Nothobranchius furzeri: one gene and its partner. The protein of the gene in region 2 binds, or shares a complex with, the protein of the main gene of each other region. Links are inferred from orthologs where the notes say so. Each region holds a gene or a part of one and is shown on either strand. Other genes may lie near its edges.

Region 1 (8,385 bases), on a different chromosome or scaffold from region 2:
CCTCTGGTACCTTTGAGAAGTAGCCCACTATGTGGAAGCCTTTAGAATCGTACTCCGTCATGACGTAGAAGAGGAAAGGGTCTGTGTCGTAATACAACGTTTTGTGGTCCAGAAAACACTTTGCAAGTAAACACAGGTTCTGGGAATAATTCTGAAAGACATGAAGTCCATGTTTGAACCAAAAACTGAAAGAAGAAAACGAGGAGAAAAGATTTTCATTAATTACTTTGTTTTTCCTGCCATCAATCTCAAAGAAGGAGATGGTGCCTTTGCGGTAGATCTCGTTTCCTGGAGGATGTCTTAAATTACATTTGGTCTGGAAGAAAAGAGAGAAATACAGTAAAGCAGCAGACCCACATAAGAATTCCCTTCCCAGCTCAGCGAGCCGAAACACGATTCGGCTGAACATTCCTAACAGCTACAGCTGATATGCCTACCTGACATTTTGTATGAGCCACCTTTACTTTTGACTCTCTGAGCAACACAAAGCCACGAGGATAATGTGACTGAAGCAATTCTTACCAGATGCCTCTGGAGACACTTGAGGCTTTTGACGTATTTGAGACAGAATTCACAGAGGTAGAGGATGGGCAGCGTGGTGAGCTCCTGTGGGTACGGGGAGAAGTACCAGGGCTTCAGTCTGTGCCGTCCCAACTCGATACACTCTATATTTTTCATCCGGGTGACGATATCGTCGTGGCTGCGATCAGACACCAAACTGCCCGTCATGCGGGGAGCTGTTGGGATGCCATCAGAACTGTCCTGAGAGTCCTGGTGGAGGTTAATCACATCAGATATACATCACTTTAAACACCTAATGATCCTGGAAGTACTACCAGGAGGAATGGAGAGGTTTTACCACTATGGCACCAAATTTGGACACAAACACACTCACAACAGGCAAAAACATCAAGTGGAACACACCTCTGGTGGTGGTAGGAACACACTGGCACTTTGAGGCTTGTTATATTGCAAAACCTTAATCATCTAGAAGAAAAAGACACAAAAACAGAGGGTTTGGAAACTAGGGGAAGGAATAAAATGATAAACTGAAAATGTTGGTTTCAGGTTAAATGAGAGAATTAAACGATAGTATAAAGGTTTTAGAACATTACAGGGATGGATTGTGACAAAACCACCGTAATCTGACAATCATAAACAGTAAAGTGGAAAATGTATTTTTATGTGGGGTTAGGGTTAAAACATGAAGAACCTCCTGGAGGTCCGCTACAGACAGGTGAGCTGTTCAGGTAAGAGTGACATCATCCAGGAGGAGTCTTTTGGGGGGTCAGCTTGGTCTGGGCTGGGTGGGGCCATTGCGTTTACATCGTTATTCACGTGGAGCCGACCAGAGGGTGCTCGCTGCAGAACTGCAAAGGTGGAGCTGCACCAGAGTCAACCCCGCCCACTCACGCAAACTCAGCCTAGCCCACTGACTTCTTCTGTTTTTGTTTTTTAACTTTATCGCAAACTAACCTGACCCACATGAATTACAGCTGTTACTAGTTTACAATTGTTAATGCTATGTCCTATGCTCCAGTTAAACAAGATAAATATAACTAGCTACATGACAAAGCCTGAATATATCCCAAACGAAAAGGCTTCTTTTAGCAAATATCAAATATCCCAGAAATTTGTTTTTAAATGGCATGCAACAAAATGAAAAATGTTAAATCACAAATAACAATTCTTCCCGCTTTCCTGGTTAATTTAATCAATTTAACATTTTCATTTTACTCATAGAGGTTGTTTATGCTTTGCTGCGTTTTATTGTTGACAATAATAAAATAAGGGTTTTCCTCGTCTCTGCCTCCTGATCAGCTGGTCCGCGGGTGTGACGCGACGCTGTGTGTGTGTGTGTGGGGTGGGGGTGGGGGGTTCAGACTCATGTTTTATTACTGAGCTCTGTTGTGGCTTATTACACATAAAATGTGACAATCAGCTGAAACAGTTGAGAAAATTTGGTTCAAACTAAATAACAGGAGATGTTCGTAAAGTTTGGAAGCCCATGTTCATCATGTGTTCATAAACAAACCGCATCTCATCTGTGTTAATGAGCTATTAACACAGATTGGACTTTACTGTCACCCAGAATATTTAACTGATGAAGTTTTCTATTCAGCAGCCTCCTTAAAAGCAGGTCTGTTTAACCAATGTCAGACCTGCCAACCTTGTCAAAAATTTTCGAGTACCACTTGTGCTGCGTTTTTTCGCGGACTTTTGCAACTCCATTGCTTTTCACGCTGTAATCTCCCCATTCACTGGATGGAAAATTTTACCACACACACACACCCACAGTTCTTATTTTGACTGGTAAGGTTATAGACATTTTTACAGTTTGACCTGACCAGTTTGACTGAAGTATCATGTATTTTAATATTAAACTGTAAAACTCTAAAGTTTCCTTATATAATATGTGCTTATACAAGTTACTTGCATTACATTATTTCAATACAAATTAATAAAAAAACATTTATTTAATGGTAATTATTTATTTTGTAAATTGCAATAGATGTTTCTGTTCAATAGTTACATTAAAGCAAATATGCAAACAACACCAGGGCTAATTTACTAATTACCTGCAGCCCCCTGGTGGCTTATGTCCACATCATAATTGAAGATTGTGCAAAATGCATGGTGAGGTTGTTTAGAGGGTCGCAAGCATGGCCGCTGTTCTTGATATTTGGACAAAATCTTCTGAGAAACATGGACCCTCTTTTTGGCAGGTCTGCTAAACAATCCCTCCCTGTCTGCTTCTCCCTCATCTGCCATAGCATGAGTTGCAAAACGAGCTGCAAAAAAATAATGGCTGCATGTTTAAACTGTATAATCACATTCCTCCTTATATACAGGCCAAATCTATATGCAATGGATAAAGGCGCACACACACACACACACACACACACACACACACACACACACACACACACACACACACACACACACACAATTACCTTGCCAGAACAGCAGCGAGTGGTGAACCGGAGGGAGAGAGGAGCAGCGGGCAGGACGAAGCAGGGAGGAGGGGGGCGGGGGTGTTATGCTAGGTTAGGCAGGATAGTTAGCTGTTTTTTCTCTGCTTTTCAATGATGATTGGCTTAAACTTCTTCACCACGCCACTGAGTCATGTTGTCAGACATGAGTACCACACGTGCATATTTGCCACAGAACTCAACTCACGTATCCACAGCTTTTTGCGTAGTTTAGAGGGGTGAGTCGTACCAGCGTAAATAGATGCCAAACTGCGCACTAACTATGCAAAATTCGTACAGGTTGGCAGGCCTGCAATGTTACCCTGTCTTCTTTCCACCTGGTGCAGAAACAGCTGCTGCATTCACAGCTGACAGAAACGGGGATCTGTGCTGCAAACCCCACAATGAACCTGCGTATTTCCAGTAGCTACAGACTGGGACACGCTTGTTGAATGATTTGTACAATAATCAGATTTTCATTTTACTTCCACCAAGCGCAAATTCTAGATTAGATATTACTCAAACGAGGACAGCTTGCCATCGATATTAAAAGCCGTCGCTCATTAATTAGGCCGCTACTTTTTAAGTCAGGCCATCCAAATGATGGCGGGGAGGCTCGCTGGCTAAGACTATGTTGCACACATGCGCAGTGGGCATTACGTTACTGCAACAATCCGAATGAATGTGTACATGGACGTCAATCGGAATGATGATCGGACAAAACTACCCCAGTCAATCGGAATGAAATTTTGTTTGAATCGGGCCGTTTCGGATCAGAATATTCTTACTGATATGTTTACATGAAGAATTTTTGATCTGATTGGGCGTTCGTTCCAATTACTTGTGCCCGTTTAACATAGCTACTAACAGCCTGTCACTGTCCCTACCCGGCCCAGGCCGAGCTGACCGCAATTGCCTTAATGATCTACCCTTTTACCATTTAAAATGCTGTCAAAAGAAAAGAAAATCCCTTTCTGGTGGGATAAACCCCCCAAAGTAAAACATTCTCCTATCCAGAAAATGGAGGTTTCCCAAACATTTCATAAATGATCCTACAGATGAAACAACAAAGAATAAAATATGCAGACAACAACCAGAGTGGCTGTGTGGAGAAAGAAGATAGAAGTAAACGGTAGATTAGTGCGTTAGATCACCGTTTCTACAGTCTGATAGATTTTACCTCGTTGGCCCCCTCACAGTTAGCTTTCCTCTTCCTCCCAGGCTGGGGGGGGATGAGGCGCCGGGCAGTGCCATTCTGCTGCTGGGGAGGAACGAGACGCTGTTCATGAACAACAAATAAACACATAAAAGAGCTTCAGAGTGTTTTATTCACCGTGGTGAGAGAGGACAACTGCTCATGGTCTTCTCTGGCCTTAAAGGTGTTTAAGGTGGGGGTGGTGGCTTCTCGCACCGCAGGGAAAACCGCCGCCTGAGAGGCTTCAGTCGAACTCGGTAGAGACGGAACGGGAGGGGCCGGGGGCACCTGAGTCGCCACGGGAACCGTCTCCGCCTTCCTCTTCTACAACAAACACAAGAGGTTAGAGCTGCAGCTCACTCAGCCTGAGCAGAGGCACAACAGAGCTAAAGCTGGGTTTGGAGAGGTTTAACACTGACTGGTGTTTCACCAGCAGTCAGTGCACGGACACTAGTGCTAGTGCACTGACTGGTGTTTCACCAGCAGTCAGTGCACGGACACTAGTGCTAGTGCACTGACTGGTGTTTCACCAGCAGTCAGTGCACGGACACTAGTGCTAGTGCACTGACTGAGCTGAGAATGAATTTGGTTAAAGCCACAGCAAATCAGACTGTCTAAATGATGGTCATTTCTAAGATAATTATTGTTGTTAATTAAACCTTATTTAAACCCGGTATTAAGATGTAGTTTGTGTGTTAGTAAAAACTCACATCAAACAGTTATTTAAAGGTGTGGCACACTCATTTAAATCACTGTATTGGCAGCGGTCTCGAGTAGGAATGAATGCCCTTTAAGTCATACTTGGCTCAGGTGTGTCTGTCTCAGGAAGTAGAAATCAGCTGAAATGGTCATTTCTCAGCATGTGTACTCGCCTACTTGTGAAACATCAACAGCGATGGCCCAAGTACTGTTCCAATCTAAGTACGCATCATGGCAAGTTACTCAAAGTTCCCGGATGTGTTCTTGCTCCGCCCATTGCATCAACGATGCAGTAACGCACCCTTCTGCGGACTCGGACTGGCAAAGTATCCCATAATGTATTGCATCGCAAACATACTCCAAACAGCAGAGAAGAAAGTCCATAATGGTAGAGTTTTATATTAGAAATACAAATAAAGAAATATTACGTTGTCTGTTATTGGAGCTGGGTATCGATTCAAATTTCAAGAATCGATTCGATTCCAATTCTCAAGAATTAGAATCGATTATCACAATTTGATTTGATCTGATCTGATATATTGGAACAGCGAACTCTTCTTTTTTTTTGCTGTTAGCTTAATTACATGCCTATGTTGTTGTGTAGTACATTAACACTATTAACATTCAACAACAAATTACTGACATGTGCTGTGTGGCCAAATCTGTCTCAGAACTGTGCTTTTCAAACTTGCCGTCAGGCTCAATTAGCAAACCGATCCAGGACAGTCGACAGTGGAAGGAAGACGTGTCAATGACTGCATCAAGTGGACTGCTATTGGAACACGAACCTAGGGCATCTCTCTCACACACACACACACACTTTTTTATATTGGCCTCACTCAAAAATGCTTTTTAACAATATTGGTCAGATTTTTTTTGGGCTTGAACATCTTTAGGGTTGACCTTCCCTTAAATGTAATGGTCATTTGCTCCAAGAAAAGGTCTCCATCTGGACCACAGATGGCTGGGATACATTGAAAATTCATTTGATTATGTGACACTCTTTGACTTCCATTTTAAACGCGTCTGCTGTTTTTTTTTTTTATGGCTTTTATTCCCAACATTCCCGCTACGTCTGTCATAATTAGCAGTGTTTTTACTATTCTTTCTACATCCACCATGTCCCGGTGAGAAAGCTTTAGAATCAGCATGTGGAACGTTTTAGCTCCATTAGCCTCACTTTCTCCACGTGAAGCACTCTTTCAGACTGGATGAGTGAATATTCTTCAACTGAATTGGAGGCGGTCATTACCAGACAAAGAGAGTCACCAATGACCAGACCTGTCAGCATTTGTAAGTTATCCCCTATAATATACCACCATGTGCTGCGTTCGTCGTCTCCTCTCGTTCTCTCCCATAACCTGGAGCTACCCAACGGTTTTCAAGCTCGAAAAACTCAGAAACTTCCACAGGTTTAAGGGAGTCAAATTTAAGACTTTTTAAGACTTTTTTTAAGGCCACTTTGACCAAATTTAAGCTTTTTTTATTATTAAATTAAAGCTATAATTTCCAGCTATTGCCTGGAACCGGTGCCAACCACGTCACGAACGTGGGATTAGCCATCCAGTTACCATTAAACTTGCACTTCCCCATGACGCAAGCTCCCACTAGCTTAACCAGCTAATGTGCTCATCTGAAAATAGTCCCCTTTCACAACCAGCTGAATGTGTATGGTTCCACTTATGCCAATATCATACACAAAACATGCTGAACACTAACTAGAAATTCACAAAAAGTTTATAGAAATAAAAGAACCTTGTTTATTGAGTCTTTGGTAATTTAAGACCTTTGGAAACTGTATTTAAGGATTATTTGTCATTTTTAAGGATTTTTAAGGCCTTAAATTTGGAAAAGCAAATTTAAGACTTTATGCTTTTTAAGGACCTGCTGATACCCTGTTTCAATATGAACACAAGTGTTGCTCAGCTTACTGAAGATGGACATCTCCACTATCTTCTGGTGTAAAGTAGTAACTTCATGAAGGATCATATATGCAGCTGTGGCTCTTTAAAGTCAGCAATGACAGTTGTTGCAAGTGAGCAGCTTTGGTGCTTAAAGGGTTAAATCGATCTTTGGACGTTTGAATCGATCCTCGTGAATATTTTTGAGAATCGATTCAGAATAGAAGGATTGATTTTTTTAACACAGCCCTATCAGTTATTGTGAATATTAGTGTGTAACCTGTAAAATTTTCCCCCCCAAACTCTTCACCATCCCTCACAATGCCAACTAGCTAACCCACTATCAAAATAAAAGCAGCATTGCCTTAAATAGCTGTTTTGATGAAAAAGAAACTTTTGATTTACCAGCAGGATAGGCTGGTATTTCATCTAATCCGATCAAAAGTGGACCAAATATACAAGTAATATGTATTCTAGAGATGTACATAGTTAACTGGTTAATTGCTGTTAATGTAACCGGGTAAAATAGTTTTGCCCAGTTAACTGCCAGTTCACATCCTTCTGCTGTGCATGGGTGTAATATATTATGTGCCACCAGAGGACGCGAGAGCGCCACTATCAAAACCACAGAAGAGCTTGTCACATGATCAAATAAACTGACTAAAAATGAAGCGGTTAGGAAAATGCACAGCGTGGGAGCATTTTAGATGTGGTAGTTAACAAAATGAGCCCAGCATCAAAGAGCCGAGCCCATAATCATCCATCGTCCCATAATCATCACACACTAGTGAAATTCACCTCCGCATTTGGCCCATCCCCGTGGGGAGTGGTAAACTGCAGCGGTGGTTGTGCTCTGGAAGTATTTGGTGGTTTAATCCCCCCAATAAAACCCCTTAAAGCTGAGTGTCAAGCGGAGAGGCACTGGGTCCCATTATTAGTCTTTGATGGGATCCGACCGGGATTTGAACCCCCGGTCTCCCAGTCCCAGGGCGACCACTGAGAAGGTAGAAAAACATGGAAATAAAGCTGCACAGCAAAATGAAACGAGACCAGCAACAGGTCAGTCTGCCATGACTCCTGCTTTGTGACAGCTTGGTGTCATCCTCCTCTAGGTTGTTTGGTAAAATAAAGAAACTTCAGTGTAATTATTTTGTTAAATGGAGTGTTTTTTAAAAGTGTGGCCTCCAGAATGCACTGATAAGCAGGGGGGCTGCCAGAGATTTTGGGCCCCATGAAAAAATATCAAGTTGGGCCCCCTGGGGGCTCGTCCATAGCTGGAGCTGGGGTTCCACCCTCCCAGATTCGAAGGGAGAAAAAAAAATATATATATACTTTATATTAGTGTTTCAGTTTTGCTTAATTATGTACGTCTACATGCATTCTTACTTATTTACATATCATTTTCACCAGCTGTCTCTCATTAAACTGTGAATTTCCTTCAACAGAATTAGCAATATCACTGCTGGAAAAAGCAGGAAATGCACATGCTGAAAGGTGTAAATCTCCTTTTCCCTTTTACTCCCTTAAAATGTGTTTATTTATTCTAAGATTTTATTTGATCATAAAATTCAAATTTGGATATTAAATTTCCATGTTGTGTCAAAGCTTTACATAACTA
Region 2 (8,385 bases):
GTAAGCTAGCACCTACTCTGAGCACAAGATCGGAACAGACCAACATGCTTCTGCTGCTGTTGTAAAACCAGCTCCAGTCTCTTACATTTCATGGCAGGTCAGGCAAACGACCCATAAACCTTCCTGCTGCTGTCAGCTTAGCTTACAGCTACTTACATGGAATTCTGATTATTTATAAGCATAAAGATCACCAGCAGGAGTTATAAATATTAAATTACCACACAAGTCCAAAGGTTTCTAAAATACGTACAGTCACATGAATCGGTATGAAATTTGAAAATTGAAGCTACAATAATTTACCCCTTCAGTCTCAGCTTTATTTAAACTAGTCATTAGCTGTAGCCAAGCACAACGTGATGTATTTGTGAATGTACGGTCTGGCCACGACCATAGACAGAGCTCGGTCATGAGGCTGAATCGACCGTCTTTCAAACAGCCTCTACATGGAATTGGACAGCGATAGGACCAATAAGAGCAACGAACATGGCATATTCATCGCTACAAAAATCAGTCAACGGGGCAAACCGCCGTACACTGAAAAAGAGGCAAATACATCCTTTTTTCTAAATGAAGGACTTAAATACCTCTTTCTGCTCATGTCTCAAAGAAAAGCCCAAGTCTAAATCGTCCAAGATTGATGCTAAGGATGTTTTAAACAATGGCAGTTCCTGAGCTGACGCCGGAACATTCCGGAACTGCGCTGCTCTGGGTGGCTGCATGTTGGAGTAGCTCTGTTGACTATATGCAAGTTTTTCCTTTTCTTGGACATTTTTTCTTCTAGTTTCTCAAGAAAAACTTTTTTTTTTGCTTTTATGTTTTCTGTAAAGATTGGTGTGCTTAAAATCAGTTAATGTTTAAATAAAGCATGTTTTGCATAAAGCATGAGGTTTTGGTTAGTACTTAATTGGGAGAATAACAAGTGACTGATTTGGATAGTGTTCCATTGCATAATAGCTTCAAACACGTATATAATAGTGTTAGTTTTTTCGTAAACCATTGGATGAAATTACACAAACTGACTGAGCTCTAGTTAAGGCTTTTGCAATAGTGTGTGTATGTGTACATGTGTGTGTGTTTGTGTGTTTGGGGGAGGGTACATTGGAACTTTGTCCCCCCAGTTTGAAAATCCTATCTGCGCCCCTGTCCTGCGTATAGCACAAGTTGGTCGCGTGAGTTGCCAGAACCTAGCAGACAGCTGCCGGAACGGTCCTTTCAAAATAAGATAGTTCCGGATCTTGTTCCGGCAAGATCCGGCTCAAATTAAGCCCTGATTACATCTACACAGAAATAAAAGTGATCCATCACATGACCTGCTTATCACCCTTGGGCCTCTATCAAAAAACAAAGGCCACTCAAATGAGGAGCTAGTGATATGTGAACAAACACAGATACCAACCAAACACTGATGACACACACACACACACACACACACACACACACACACACACACACACACACACACACACAGATGAGGGTGGGGGGATGCATGGCAGCCACATTCATTTTCCTCTCAGCGTTGAGAACAAACACTCCATCCTGTATCGATCTAGCCATGGCAACGCTCATTAGTGCTAGCAGAGTAGAGATGAAAGAATGGAGGGAACAGAAAATGGAAAGAAAAATAGAAAAAAGAATCCCGGCACAGTGAGGAGGAGTGACAGAGCTGGGAAATAGAAGAATAAGGACAGAGAGCATGGAGCAGACGGATAGAAGGCCAGACGGTGAGGATACTTTGATGAATAGGAGGAGAGCTGGTTCAGGGACAGTGTGATAAAGCTGAGGGAGGCTCATATGAAGATAAGTGGTAACAGGGGGAGAACGAACTCCATTCACAGGAGGCAGAAAATGTGATTTAGAAAAAGAGTTAGAGGATGCAACCGTGTTTCTTACAAAGATTGCTTTTTGCCCTTAAGGGCACAGACTAATCCATAATTACAAAGGTTATGTCTGCTAATCTGGGGCTCGTCTGGGCTCAAAGGAGACTGCAGATAGATTAGAGACAGGTGTGACTTTTCCAAGCAAGTGAAATTAAACCTAAATCTATTCAACACTAAAGATTTAGAGAACAGTGATCAGGGAAAAGATTTTAAAAATTACACTGGTGCAAGAAAAACTCTACAGTGGTCGAATCTGTGTCGTTAACAATTCACTATTAAAATCACTAAAATCACTGAACTGTCATTTTCAATGTAAATCTTTGAAAACAGACAGATCAATGCATAATAATCTGTGATAAACTCAGATTATGGTCATAAATGATGTCAGAAAAGTTATTATCGAACGCTGGAACGTCTTGGATTTTATAGAAAGATGCTAGAAAGAAAAACATCATGAAGAATAAAACAGTGAAATTATCTAATGCTTCAATATTTTGAATTCAAAGAGAAAAATACTTAGCAGATTAAGAGGTTCTATTTAATTATTTTGTTGTGGGATAAAAATAAACACAACTAATTTCGTTAAATATCAAGATATGACTTGTTTTTCACATTTTTGTGATTTTATTGGCCTGTAAATGTTTCACTTTCTCTTAATTCCTTCCTGGATTTTCACAACTTTCTTTCCTTCACTGATTTAGTAATTAAACATCTGCGTAAACAACTGAATTTTTTTAGTAGTAACTTAAATTTAATCCTCTAGGCCTTGTTTTCTGCACATTTAATAAATGATGGCAGAAAATACGATTTATAGCTTTAGCATAAAAGCATGACGCCTCCCCAGCAGCCAGCGTAGACATGAGCTCACAATTATGCATTGTTTTTCTAGTTTTTGTCCAACTCTAGATGTCACAAAGCGAGAGAGAGAAACAAACAGAGTGGGTAAGCTGTGCTGACCTTCCTCATGCATGCTTCACCCGCTTCCTGCAGCTCATTGTTGGTGGAGTTCAGAGCTTTGAACAGGGCAGCGATGATCTTCTCTCTGGACTGTGGTAAGTAATTACAGGCTGCCAGGGCATCTGATCAAGGTGAAGACACAAAGATTTAACACTTTCACTCTGAGGAATTATAAAAACACACATAACTTAAAGAGAAAAAATGACATGTTGTAAATTCAGTGGACTGACTAAGAAAACCAAAATTGAATCCTGATTAGCTGGGAGGACTTACTGAGAGCAGCAATACGAAGAGGAACCAGGGAGGGAAGGCTCTTATAACATGGCAGCTTCATCAGGGCAGCATCCTCTGCCTCACACAGATTCAAAAGCTAAAGAGAAAAACAACACATCTGATGCAAAAGTCAATAAAAACACAGCAACCAAGACTTGTCTGGTAGAACTAGATCTAGACTTAACTAAACCATGAATGTGTTTGTGTCTCTGAGCTTTAGTTTAGCTCAGAGAAAAGCCTCCATACCTCAGTGTAGAAGACCTTATGCTCCATGACATTCAGGTCCATGGTAAAGAGGCGGGGCTGCAGCGTGGTGCAGAAGGTGTTTCCCTCCATCAGACCGATCTGGGCGTTTGCAGGCTGGTGACGCAGCAGGTGTTTCTTAGGAGGAACCATATCCTGCAAAACCTGAACAGCATTGTTGTTTAGGAGGTCAGTCTGTGCTGTGCTACACAAACAGAACTTTCAAATCAATCTTGTTAATTTAGAGAAATTTTGATTAAAAGGCGTCTGTGAGGGTAGCCGAGCACCTGAATCAGGTGCATTTTACTGAACACAGGTAATTCTGCACCCAAAGCCTTTAAGAGTCTGGTTTCACCTCTTTGTGTGGTTCCATGATGACCGTCACACTCTTGCCGGTGACTTGCGCCAGCACCTGGAGGGAATGCATGGCCTGCTTCCTGACAGTTGAGTTCGGGGAGGTGACTTCTCTAACGAGGTCATGGGTGACCATGTGAAAGGATTTATCCTGAGCAGCCAGCAGCTCATCGGTCTTCTCCTCATCCTTCAGCGGAGTGGCACAGCGCACTAGCAGCTGCTCTAAAGTAGTCTTTGCCATGGCTACAGCCCCGTTTGACACCTGTGTGAAAATCAATAGGAGCATGAATGCAGTACTTTTAACCGTAAAGGCCCAACAGCATGACAAAAATAAATCTCCGTATGTTAAAAGATGATGGAAACAGAAAAATCACAGCAAAAATAATCTCACCTCTCCGGTGAGGTCCATCATGACAAAGAGCAGGGCTTTGAGGAACGTAAGCTGGTTCTGTAGCACCCAGATCAGAGGAAGTCTCTCCATCAGAAACTTGATGGACACCACACCGCCGAGTTTGGCGTACCAGGCCTGCTCATAGCAACAGGCACACAGACGCTCCACGATGTAGGAGAACAGGGGCAACTGGCATGCCTGGAGGGGCAGAAGCCACAGTGGGTGGGGGTGTGAAGAACTAAACTACAACTATAAAAACTAAAGCACTGATTTAAAATGAAGTTGTTTTAATGGAAGGATAAAAAACTCCCTCCAATCGCCTCCTCCCAATGTGACTTACTCGCTCCTTAGAGCCAAGGATGATGCTGGCAACATCAAAGATGACAGCCAGAGCCACTTCTCCAATCTTACACAGCTCCTTCTCCTCGTAGGCCATGCAGATCGCTATGGCATCAATGAGAACCAGTGGATCCATGCCCTTAGAACCATTCTCCTCACTGTGGAACATGGCGGTGCTTGGCTGGCTGCCGAGCTGATAGGATGGCAGCAGGAACGGACCTGGCATGAAGAGGAGAACAAAAAAACAAACCGATGAATGATTTTTAAAAACTCACTAAAACAACTTTCAGATTTATATATGTCATTTGATTTATTAGAAAACATTGTTAAGATAAAAATTTTTTATAAAACTCTGTTACAATTACATACATATATAAATACATTAAGCAGCCGGGAAGGCTATTGCATCATAAAAGCTAAAAGCCCAGTCCCTCACCACACTGCTGAGCCACAGCAACCATGGTGTAATGGCGGATCAGGCTGGCAACGAAGGGCAGAGCGCTGGGCCTCAGGTCCTTTATCACCGCAGACATGAATGCTCCAGTCAGGGCTTGCTCAAAGGTTCTGCGCGCAGGTGTGTCTTGTGCTTTGTAGCGGTGAGAGATGATGACGCTGGGAATCCACTTATCAGTGAAGCTAAAGGCGAGAAAACAGCATCATGAATTAGATGATCACTTATTAAGAGTATTGGGAGTACGGGTGTTACTAACAACGTTATTTTTTAGGTAACAGTGTAGTCTAATTCATTCGTTTTCTCATCGTTGCAACGCCGTTAATGTTATTGAGCATGTAAAGTGATGTGTTAGTTACTATAATGTGGCTGAGTGAAGCGTAGCAGTTTTCAGGCTGTCTGACACAGGGCTGAGCGATCTATCGTTTCTGGACCAATGCTGTGATTTCAAACGGCACGATCACGTGACCGTCAAAGCTGCGGTTTTAGCGGTTTTGACTGATCCGGGATCAGTTGTGAAACTTTTTCGTTTTTACATCCGGGGTTTTCCCCTCGTGTTATGGCAGCGGCAAAAGCCAGCGTGGGGGAGGGGGGTGGGGCGTACCGTCCAGAGCCGAGCTCAACTCCACATCTGACAGAGCTGCATGTACAGGTTATTTTCCCTGTTTTATGTTCCCACACACAGCGCTGCTACAGCAGATACCGTAGGTGAGCCCGGGACGAGAGAGAGAGAGAGAGAACGAAGTTGAGTAAGGGAGAGAGAGACTCCTCCCACATCGGAGGAGGTTCAGGCTGATTTCTGAAGCTTGGTTCATGCTTCATCAGCGCGAGTGCAGAGTCGCGCACTTTAGTTGACTTGAAAGTTCAACTTCTCTTTTAAAAATGGTTTGAATGTTTCTGACGGCACACAGTTCAAACAAGCTAAGGTGCCAGAATGCGTGCACCTCTCTCACAGGACTGACGTTTTAGTGAGGAAAAACTATCAGACAGCTTCGAAAACGTGCAGCCAGCCTGCTTTGGTAATGCAGGGAAAACTTTAGGTTACTGTCGTAACCCCAGTTCTCAGAGTAGCATGAGTGAGTGTCTCACTATGGGAACGCCTAGGCATGACTTAATCAGAAGCTCTTATTCTACACTGCCAGCCCTGATTGGCTGGAACAAATCTGTCAGCATATAGGAGGCGGGAACCCCACCTATATATTAGGCCGGCTCCTCACTGACAGTATTCTAAAATGACCACCTCTTCCTCGCTACGAAATAGTAAGGAGGGCGGTATGGTGAGACACTCACTCATGCTACTCAGAGAACCGGTGTTACGACAATAACCTAAACTTCTCTTTTATAGCATTCGTTTCGTGTCTCACTGTAGGAAAATACTGACTCCCGGATTGCAAGGCAGAACATGATCCACAGACTGTACTCCCAAATATCATATCGTGTGCACAGCTCAGATAGTGGGAGCCGTACCCAGCACCGAGTGAGCTAGTGACGGTGTTGTGACATCTAGCTTGTAGAACCAAGTGAATGTGTGAGGGGAGCTCCAACTCGCCGCAGCACATATTTCCTGAATGGACACGCCCATGAGGAAGAAAGTCCTCTAGTAGAATGGGCACGAAGGCCCTAAGGAGGTAGAGCCCCTTTGGAGTTGTAGGCTAAGGAAATGGCTCCTACAATCCAGTGAGAAAGTCCCTGCTTTGATATGGGCTTCCCCAACCGATTTTTGGCCTAGGATACAAAAAGCTGGTTGCGCTTTCGCATGGTCTTTGTCCTGTCCATGTATATACTTAATGCACACACCGGACAAAGTGCACGGAGATTCTGCTGCTCCACTGAGGAGAAGGGGGGAGGGCAGAAGGAAACCAAAGAAATAGGGGGAAAAGCCCCCAGCACCTTTGGCATAAAGGTGGGATTAGGGAGTAAGGTCACTTTCGAGTCCCCTTGGGAAAATTTGGTACATGACGGGTGAACAGACAGAGCATGTATTTCACCCACACGTTTAGCCGATACAAGTGCCAGCAACAGCGCCGTTTTTAATGTAGCCACCTTCAAATCCACCTGCTCCAGTGGTTCAAAAGGAGAAGACATTAAGGCCTCCAGAACTAGCGGGAGGTCCCAGGGTGGGGCCAGATTCCTAGAGACGGGAACTTGCCTTCGCACGCCTCTCATAAATCGACTCACAAGGGGATGCTGTCCAACCGACTTCCCTTCAAAGCCAATATGGCAGGCTGATATTGCAGCCAAATACACCTTGATGGTGGAGAAAGCTTTTCCTTTATCCATCAGGTCCTGCAAGAAGGTCAGTATGACCGCCACGGAGCACTGAAAAGGAATGTCCTGTTTCTCCCCACACCATTTTTCGAAAATAGATCACTTGCAGTCATACAGAGACCTAGTTGAGGGAGCCCTTGCGCCCTGAATGGTCTCAATGACCCTCTGTGGGAGTCCTACAGCTTGTAGGTGGACTGCTCATGAGCCAAGCCCAGAGAGACAATCTCTCTGGATGTGGGCGGAAAACCTCCCCTTGTGCCTGAGATAGCACATCTCTGCGTAGGGGCAGGGGCCACGGTTCTCCACAAAGGAGTTGTGTGATCTCCGCCAGCCAGTGTTTCGATGGCCAATGGGGCGCAATCAGAATCATTACCAGATCCTCCGTTCTCACTCTGGTGAGCGTGGGTGAGATGAGAGCCACAGGGGGAAACGCATAGAGCAGGGTCTGTGGCCATCTGTGGGCGAATGCATCCACTCCCAGAGGTGTGTCCTGGTCGTGTAGGGAGAAAAACATGGGGCACTGAGAGTTCTCTCGAGAGGAAAACAGGTCTATCGAGGCCTGCCTGAAGCGCATCCAGATCATCCTGACCACCTCGGGGTGAAGTCTCCACTCCGCGTACAGGAGTTTCCCTCAGGAGAGAAGATCTGCCTCCAGGTTCCGTATCCCCGGTACATGAGTGGCTCTCAGAGACAAGAAGTGTCTGCTGCTCCACAGAACAAGCTTGTGAGCTAACATGCGCAGGCTTTGGGATCTCAGACCGCCCTGCCGATATATGTATGCCACAACAGTTGTGTTGTCTGTTCGTACCAGAACATGATGGTTTACGAGGAGAGGGAGGAAATGTCTCAACGTCATGTAGACTGCCGACAGTTCTAAATAATTTATGTGGAACCTGAGCATGTGGGAGGGCCAGGACCCATTCACCGGTCTCCTCCGAAGACCCCCCCCACACACACACACACACCATCACCACCACCACCACCACCACAACCTGACAGAGAGGCGTCTGTCGTGATCACTTTTCTGCTTTGCACTGTGCCCATGGGCACTCCCTGCAACAGGAGATGTCCATTTCTCCAGGGCCGAAGTGCAGCAGTGCAGGCTGCTGTGATCCTGATGTTCCGAGAGCTGTGTCGGTCCAGTTTCTGTCTGGCCATCCACCGTTGAACTCCTTTCATGTGTAAACGACCTAGGGGAACAGCCACCAGAGCTGAAGCCATTAGGCCCAGCA

What was found. Proteins that work in one complex are often made in the same cells at the same time.
Region 1: trrap (region 2) and histone acetyltransferase KAT5 share a complex: the UniProt entries of both Homo sapiens proteins name them as parts of the SWR1-like complex. The link is inferred for Nothobranchius furzeri from reciprocal best matches to the Homo sapiens genes TRRAP and KAT5.

The regions. Positions count from the first base shown.
Region 1 is NC_091750.1:47,301,987-47,310,371, forward strand, and holds part of histone acetyltransferase KAT5, read right to left. Parts: intron 4,492-8,385; coding exon 4,306-4,491; intron 4,234-4,305; coding exon 4,153-4,233; intron 988-4,152; coding exon 925-987; intron 772-924; coding exon 523-771; intron 317-522; coding exon 227-316; intron 152-226; coding exon 11-151; intron 1-10. UniProt on the Homo sapiens protein: Catalytic subunit of the NuA4 histone acetyltransferase complex, a multiprotein complex involved in transcriptional activation of select genes principally by acetylation of nucleosomal histones H2A and H4.
Region 2 is NC_091756.1:29,497,131-29,505,515, reverse strand, and holds part of trrap (transformation/transcription domain-associated protein), read right to left. Parts: intron 5,071-8,385; coding exon 4,871-5,070; intron 4,654-4,870; coding exon 4,436-4,653; intron 4,294-4,435; coding exon 4,096-4,293; intron 3,967-4,095; coding exon 3,706-3,966; intron 3,516-3,705; coding exon 3,354-3,515; intron 3,205-3,353; coding exon 3,108-3,204; intron 2,957-3,107; coding exon 2,835-2,956; intron 1-2,834. UniProt on the Homo sapiens protein: Adapter protein, which is found in various multiprotein chromatin complexes with histone acetyltransferase activity (HAT), which gives a specific tag for epigenetic transcription activation.